Linked DNA regions of Daphnia pulex. The protein of the gene in region 1 interacts with the protein of each later gene in a pairwise test. Links are inferred from orthologs where the notes say so. Each region holds a gene or a part of one and is shown in the gene's direction. Other genes may lie near its edges. The genes, in order: cytoplasmic protein NCK1-like and Down syndrome cell adhesion molecule-like protein Dscam2.

What was found.
Region 2: the proteins of cytoplasmic protein NCK1-like (region 1) and Down syndrome cell adhesion molecule-like protein Dscam2 interact in a two-hybrid assay, tested with the Drosophila melanogaster proteins (3 studies listed by BioGRID). The link is inferred for Daphnia pulex from reciprocal best matches to the Drosophila melanogaster genes dock and Dscam1.

The regions. Positions count from the first base shown.
Region 1 is NC_060024.1:8,484,251-8,488,718, reverse strand, and holds the start of cytoplasmic protein NCK1-like, read left to right. Parts: upstream 1-1,593; 5' UTR 1,594-1,787; coding exon 1,788-1,809; intron 1,810-1,895; coding exon 1,896-2,321; intron 2,322-2,391; coding exon 2,392-2,635; intron 2,636-2,699; coding exon 2,700-2,844; intron 2,845-2,923; coding exon 2,924-3,244; intron 3,245-3,308; coding exon 3,309-3,403; intron 3,404-3,466; coding exon 3,467-3,638; 3' UTR 3,639-4,468. Other genes in the region: trimethyllysine dioxygenase, mitochondrial-like, read left to right, coding at 1-360, 448-672, 741-1,011. UniProt on the Drosophila melanogaster protein: Adapter protein that links cell surface receptor tyrosine phosphorylation to downstream signaling pathways and effectors, many of which are involved in regulation of the actin cytoskeleton.
Region 2 is NC_060024.1:11,654,650-11,658,471, reverse strand, and holds part of Down syndrome cell adhesion molecule-like protein Dscam2, read left to right. Parts: coding exon 1-35; intron 36-105; coding exon 106-347; intron 348-414; coding exon 415-570; intron 571-643; coding exon 644-771; intron 772-828; coding exon 829-1,255; intron 1,256-1,320; coding exon 1,321-1,552; intron 1,553-1,617; coding exon 1,618-1,794; intron 1,795-1,865; coding exon 1,866-2,032; intron 2,033-2,312; coding exon 2,313-2,474; intron 2,475-2,537; coding exon 2,538-2,693; intron 2,694-3,090; coding exon 3,091-3,231; intron 3,232-3,493; coding exon 3,494-3,660; intron 3,661-3,730; coding exon 3,731-3,822. UniProt on the Drosophila melanogaster protein: Cell surface receptor involved in guidance and targeting of growing nerve axons.

The DNA.
Region 1 (4,468 bases):
TACTTACGACGGGAAGTACAAAGCACTACAAGAAGAGACGGACCGATTGACTACATGGGATGGAACTACCGTGAATTTATTGGGTTTAGAGCCCATTTCGCATCAACGCCTGATGAGTGATGATAAAATATTACGTGAAATATATCGCCGGGTCTTTCAGTACGGCTTCGTCAAAATAGAGCAAGTACCACCAACGAAACTTGACACCAGCGCGGTTATCGAGCGTATCTGCCGTATGTCCCACACGGTCTTTGGAAAGTTTTGGGAAACCGGTACCAATTTCGACCATAAGGATACGGGTTACCTGAACGGCTATTTAGAAGCCCATACAGACAACACTTATTTTACTGAAGCGCAAGGGTATGGATTTCCCTCTTTTCTTGTTGATTTAATTCTTATTTTTGAACTGAATTTATCCTTTTCTATCCTATCCGTTCATTGTTTTAGGCTTTTGGTTTTTCATTGTACTCATTTCAATGGGACGGGTTGCGAATCTTTCTTGGTAGACGGATTTCACGTGGCTAAGCAGTTAAAACAGCTTGATCCTTCTGCCTACGATTATTTGTCCAAAGTAAATATGGAAGCCGAGTATATTGAACCAGGTGAGCATTTCTCTTCTTGGGGTCCCATCTTCCGTCATCATCCAGTGAGCCATAAGTTGGAACAGATTCGGTAAGATACTTTTGTCTGAATAAAAAGGCGTTTCTATTTTAATTACAGTAAATTTATTCTTTATTCAGGTTCAACATGCTAGATCGGTCGCCTCTTTCTGGTATCCCACAAGAGGAAGTCGGTACCCATTATCGTTATCTAAAAACCATGGCGACGCTCGTAAAGAAAAAAGAAAACGAATATCGGTTTCGTCTCTCACCAGGAACCGTGATGATAATTGATAACTGGAGGCTCTTGCATGGGCGTGAAAGTTATCAGGGTGAAAGAGTATTGAGAGGTTGTTATTATTCCCGATCGGACTTTATGAGCAAAGCGCGACATTATGGAATAATATCTTGATTAAACTGCGCCACGATTAATTCGTCAATGCACAATAAAACAATACCATTTTCAAGACAAATTATTTGTTATTTTAAACCCGCATTTGGAAACGCATAGAAATTTTCGAATTTAATGTAAACTGAATATGATTACCGGAAAATAAATAATCATCAATTTAAAAAAAATTATAAAAGACTCGTCAGCTCCGCAAAAATAAAATGTGAATAAAACAATTTAATGTGTAGTAAAAAAAATTCATAAATGATATTACTGGCGTGGTCCAGTGGTTATGGTACCCGATCATCATGAGGTGGAAAGATTGGGATGGTTTCACCTGCGGCTCGTGGATACTAGTCAAACTAGCTAAATGAAGTACAGCATAAATAGAAATAAGTCTCTTAGTTCCCTCTTGGCTGAGCAACTATTTGAAAATGCAACAGTGCAATAATCGTAATCTGTTACGATATTGCATGCGCGGAAATCATTCCAATGACCAAAATTGATGGATCAATCCTCTATAAATTCTAAACTTTTTTTACAATGTAAATTTCACATTTTATTTCTCGTCAGCTCCGCTCTAGCCTTTAAAGTAAATGGCAACTCAGCAGGCATCGTATTCAACATGGCAGCTAACTAAAAACTGGCCCTGCCCACGAAAAGTTTTTCGAGGATTAAAATCGATAAAGACGAGTCATTGAATTGAATTTGCATCGTTCAGCTTGAGTATTGCTCAAAATCAAAGCATTTTTGGGCAGTGATTGCTCATTGGTGTCCGCTAAGGGTCGCACAACATAATGTCTAGCAGTCTAAAAATGGGTATGTTGGTTTATTATTATAGGGTGACTCATTATGCAGTTGTCATTAGTTGATGTTTATATGTTGGTTTATTGCATTCGTTTCAGGCAAAGCCATTGAAGACTGTTATGTCATTGCAAAGTATGATTATGTTGCCCAAGGATCACAGGAGTTGAGTTTAAGGAAGAATGACAAACTTCTATTGCTGGATGACTCAAAACATTGGTGGAAAGTTCAAAATTCTCAACACCAATGGGGATATGTCCCTAGCAATTATGTGAAGAAGGAGAAACCATCTATATTTGACTCAATCAAGAAGAGAGTGAAAAAAGGGAATAGCATCAACAAATCCTCCAACAGTCCCGGTGGCTCTCCCGTGAGAGAAGTTGATTCTCCAGTAGTAATCAAGCGCCCTTCTCCTGATACATCACATTATCCAGCTCATGATCTCAATGCAGGGCCTCACCAAGGCTGGGCGCTTGTTCGTTACAATTATGTTGCTCAGCAAACTGATGAATTGTCTCTTGTGAAAGGTAACTTGTTGCAAATTGACGTCAACACCCCCAGTATGTTTACTAACACTTCAATCAATGCATTTATTAGGAACAAAGGTGCTCGTGCTTGAAAAAAGCAGTGATGGTTGGTGGAAAGGTCAATACCAAAACCAAATTGGATGGTTTCCATCAAATTATACCCTCCCAGATTCATTACAACAGCAGCAGCAGCCTGTAGCAAACATGACAGCAAGCGTCGCACCGCCGGCTGCATCAGCTATGGTTATGTCTGCGGGAGAACACATGTACTCAGCAGCCGAGAATGTTTTGGATGTCGTAGTTGCTCTTTACAGGTAAGCCGAATTTTAGTCATTAATTTGGATTAAAATTTATTTTGGTATTTGATATATTTTACAGCTTTGCTGCACAAAATAACGAAGAACTAAGCTTCGTTAAAGGCGAGAGACTTGAAATTCTTGATCGTCCACCTGCAGATCCGGATTGGTATCGAGCCCGGAACACCAATGGTTCAATTGGTTTGATTCCAAAGAACTACGTTCAGGTATTATTTCGTCGTGACTAATTAATTATTGGTAACGTTATGCTCGTTACAATAAAACTTGTTCTTCTTGTTTCTTTAGGAGATTAGCGACTTTTTGACCGAACCTTTCCGTCAACGAGCACCTGGTGGTAATGGTGCTCCAGGTGGGCCTCCTGTCAGCAATTTGCCCCCGATGCCGAACAACGGAAGTAACGCAGTAGACGGCATGGGGCGAAGTTTGGATGCCTTGAGTTTGAATACACCTCCCGCCGTATCTGCTAGCCTGAGCCAGGATCCTAATTTCCCTCACTTGAAAGAAAAATCCTGGTTTTACGGAGCCATCACCCGAGCTGAATGCGATAATCTACTTAATCAGTATGGTCAAGATGGAGACTTTCTTGTGCGATCATCTGAAACCAACGTAATTTGTTTAAAAAAAAAACTATTTTAGAGTTTACGTTTACTAATTCATTTGTAAATAATAGGTTGGAGATTACTCCGTGTCTCTGAAAGCACCCGGTCGCAATAAGCATTTCCGAGTCCACGTCGAAGGAGCTTTGTATGTCATCGGTCAGCGGAGGTAAGATCGGATTATATTCATTTCATAGTCTTCCAATTACATTCTGATTAATATTCGAATTAGGTTCCATTCTATCGACCAGTTGGTAGACCACTACCAAAGATCCCCCATTTTCACGTCAGAAAAAGGAGAACGTCTCTTCCTTATCCGACCACTACCCAAGCCTGTCGGATATATCCCACCTTCTTTTGCACCACCCACTCCGGCGACAAGACCGATGCAACCGATGGCCTAATGGCGGTCTTAACACAAGTAGCTCTAACCAAATGTGTGGGTTTATTACGAACCCACTGTTCTCTCTTTGAAGGATAAAAAAAAAAAAAAAAAACACAGAAGAGACAACTCTCTCATCTCTTTCGATAGCTCCCCCACCCCAATAACTTTTTTCTCGCCGTTGACAACGATCCATTTAATTCATTTATGCAATTATTCGGCATTCATCAGATACGACCCAAGGGCACTTGGAGAGTGCGTTTTCAAGCTCACTTGATGAATTTAATCTCGTAGCTAGCCCGATATATTGGACAGACTTACTCCCAGTTAGTTTCCTTAAATTTTGATTGATAACACTAAAGGGGCACAGCAGCAACAACAACAACAAAAAGTAACGGTTTCCAAAATATGAGAAGAGATGGCGAGTGAAAAAGGAAACACAAAATATATAACTTCAGGAGGGCACCGGTGGTATCACGGGTCCATTCGTTTATTCAAATTTTTGGTTTTTGATTATTATCAATTTTTTCTTCAAATAATCATTCTATCGCCATCTTTTTGAGGGTTTCAGTTAAATTGAGGGATGTGTGGGTTTAAGAAGGGATTCGCTTGCTTTCATTCCCAGATTGGTCGCTCACTCGTCATCACCATAGACCTCAGTGGAACTGTGCGTTATTATTATTATTAATTTTTTTAAAACTCGTGTTGGTATCGAGGAATCTAGTCTCTCGCATCCCTTGAACACCCGACCACATAACCATGTAGAAGCTGAGTCCCACAGAATGAGAGAGGGAGGAAGAAGTAAAGAACATTGCGAAATAAGAAACATTTTTTAATCCCTTTTTTTCAAAC
Region 2 (3,822 bases), about 3.2 Mb from region 1:
GGCAAGGAGCATCAGCTCAACATTTCACACCTCAAGTACGTATCTCCCTACACAACTAATACGGAACCGTTCCATTTAATCATTTCTGACGATGTTTATTTTTAGGATGTACACGCAATATTCCGTGGTTGTCCAAGCGTTCAATCGTGTCGGCGCCGGACCCATGTCTGACGAAGTGATCCAGCACACGGGCGAAGGAACTCCAGAACAGGCCCCTCAAGATGTGACGTGCACAGCCCTAACTTCTCAATCCATTCGGCTGTCTTGGACATCACCTCCTCTGACTACTGTCAACGGAATTATCAAGGGTTACAAAGTCATTTACGGACCGAGTCATATCTGGTTCGGTAAGTTGTCTCATTGTTGTGCAAGTCTGACAAATTCGATGGCGTCATCCTTTTGTTAATCCAACAGATGAAACCAGCAAAGATGCCAAAATTATCACCACCAGCGAGACTATCCTCCACGGATTGCGCAAGTACACCAACTACAGCATGCAAGTTTTGGCTTTCACCGCTGGCGGTGATGGTGTCAAATCCGTACCCGTTTCCTGTCACACCGAACAAGATGGTAATTATTTGCAAAATTCGCATGAATAACATTTCATTAATAATAAAATCCCTGGAAATTATTTATTTTTCAGTTCCTGGATCACCTTCGGCTGTCAAAGCTCTTTTGATGACTCCGGATTCAATTTTAGTCAGCTGGAAAGCACCGGAATTGCCAAATGGAATCGTCAATCAATACACCGTTTACATTCAAGAAGGATCGGTAAATGATTGACATGTTATCATTGTTAGAATTGTAATACAACTTCTTTAATTTCAGGAGGATGCTCGTAGTCAGAAAGTGTCGCCATCTCAACTAAATTATGAGGCCAGCGGACTGAAGAAGAAGGAGCGCTACAATTTCTGGGTAACGGCTTCCACTAACGTCGGAGAGGGAGAGGCTTCCAAGACCGTCACGATTGCTCCTGGTACCCGTGTTCCGGCCAAGATTGCGTCGTTTGACAACACTTTCAGCGTCTCGTACCGCGAAGATGTCAAACTGCCCTGCCAGGCAGTCGGTGCTCCATTGCCTGAAATCCAGTGGAAAATCAAGGGAACTCCTTATGCCGCATCGGAACGAGTTCGCCTACTGCCTGAAGGATCTCTCCTCGTCCGTGAAGTCACTCGCGATGATGCTGGAGAGTATACCTGCACCGTCGAGAACATGTACGGCCAAGACACAGTCACTCACCAACTCCAAGTTCAAGGTGACTTTCTCAAACATCATAAGTTAAGAAAACGAATTATTAATTTTTAAAAATTTTATCGATAGCTCCTCCATATCCGCCTCACCTATCGTTGGCATCCACCACCACTACGTCTATTACGATCAAAGTGAAACCGCGAAAGGAAGAAGAGACACCTATCCACGGATACACTGTTCACTACAAACCCGAGTTCGGCGATTGGGAGACGACTCAAATCGGCAACTCTCTTCAGGATTACACGATCGAGAACCTTTGGTGTGGAACTCGTTATCAACTCTACGTCAGAGCCTACAATGGGTATGTTTATCATTGAAGCACAGAGCTCTTTGTTGGTGTCACGTAATCATTCAAATTCGAATCAGAATCGGAACGGGAGAAGGGTCGGACGTGATCAACACACGGACCAAAGGATCAGCTCCAGCTGTTCCGGATGCCAACCGATTTATCGAAGGTTCAGCTAGCAGTGTGACACTTCATCTAAGTGCCTGGTCGGATGGCGGTTGTCCCATGCTTTACTTTGTTGTCGAGTATCGCGGAAAGTATGTTTTGATTTTCTGAATTTGATTTTGAATTATCCGAGCGTCGGCACTCATCTTTGTTTTCCTTCCAGGGGAAATCAAGACTGGACTTTGGTTTCCAACAGCGTCAAGCCCGGTGGCAATTTCGTCGTACTTGATCTCAGCCCGGCCACTTGGTATAATCTTCGTGTGACTGCCCACAATAACGCAGGTTCAACTGTTGCCGAATATGAGTTTGCCACTCTGACCCTAACCGGAGGTAAATATAAACAAACACTGACGGAACCTTTTTTCTTCAAGTGGATCTTAAGCCGCCGATGTTGTGAATGGCTGTCGAGTGGGGTTGTGTTTAGTTTAAAGAAACGGGAGGGGTTCGCGGTCTAGGCGGAAGAAGGCAGCTTTAACAGTGTTGACTTTAGTTTTCGGCTTCCGACAGAGGTTGCCACAGAGTGAATGTTTACGCAAACGGCTTCCGTTCAAAGATTTCTCCATGTCAAGTGCTCAATATTAAACTGGAACGTATTATTTCATTTCAAAAGGAACGATCGCCCCAGCCAGGGAAACATCAGAGAAGGAAAATCCGCTACTGGCCATGTTGATGAATTTGAATCTGGTGGTTCCAGCTGCCGCAGCCATTATGGTTATTATCGCCGCCATCGTCGTCATTTGCGTCATCAAGGGCCGCAACAACGGCCACAAAGGTTTGCTTTTGTTAAATTATTACTCGGTTCATCTCTTGTTTCATTTTCATTTTGTTTGGCCAGATGATGTCATCTACAATCAAGCTTCGGCCAGCAATGCGACCATGAAACGTAACGGTGGTGACATGCGTGATGAACTTGGTTACATCCCTCCACCCAACCGCAAGCTCCCACCTGTGCCAGGAACCCAATACAACACTTGCGACCGGATCAAACGCGGTAACTATTCCATTCAAAGTATTTTTTTTTTCATTTCATCCTTTCTTTTTTTTCTTACTGTCGATTCAATGGTATGCCATGAGTGTTTGCAATGCACGTTTATTTTTCAAATTCTCTTTTACAATCAAAAAAAGAAAAAAAGAAAAAAAAACATTTGGTAGTCGACGATTCACTGATTTTTTTTTTTTTTTATTTATCCGGACGGTTCTGCGTTTGTGACGATCCTGCCGCTTATTTCCGTTTCCGTTCGCTATATTTGTATTGCGTTTTTTCATTCCCGAATTTTGTTTTTCTCTGGCTATACTCATTCCATCCATACATCGACGAAAAATACCTGACAAAACACACACAACACACACAAAACGTACACTTACGCAAACGAAAAACAAAAAAAAAGGTCACGCAGACTGTCATGCCTATCGGACGCTGGACCCACGCCGACCTGTTTATGACGAACTGTCAATCCACCCACCCCCGCGCCGGAATGTAGAGGTTCCCGGTGAGGAGGTAAACCAGTCTGGGGCTTCGTTGTACGCAGGTAAATGAAAACCACCCACTTACCACTCCTCGCTTACCTTGTTGTGTCTCATTTTCTGCCTGGACTTATATAATCTTAACACTTTTTCTTATACCCTCGGTTGAAGGCATACTTTAACAAAAAAAAAAAGAAAGCCGATGACAATCTGTGTGGTACTCTTTTGTCGTATTAACTGTGTCTTTTTATTAACGAAATTGGGAATCTCAACAGTCCCGAAGGTATAAAAACGTCACTAATGATAATTCTCGGTATTTCCTTCAAGGTATGGATGATGAGATCTGTCCGTACGCCACGTTTCATCTGCTTGGATTCCGCGAAGAAATGGATCCCAACAAGACAGGAAACCAATTCCAGACTTTCCCTCATCCCAACGGAGGACAACCACCCCAACAGGACATGAACCACCACCGCCAAGCTTCCCAATCGATGGTAATCCGATGACCTTTTGCGCATTTCCGTACTCATACTTATTAACCGTGATCCGTTGCGACAACATTAGCCCCGTCCCGGAAACCGAATGATGCGAATGCCCAACGGCGCCACTTATGCTCCTGAAAACTGCTACGACGATCCGGCTAATTGTGACATGTA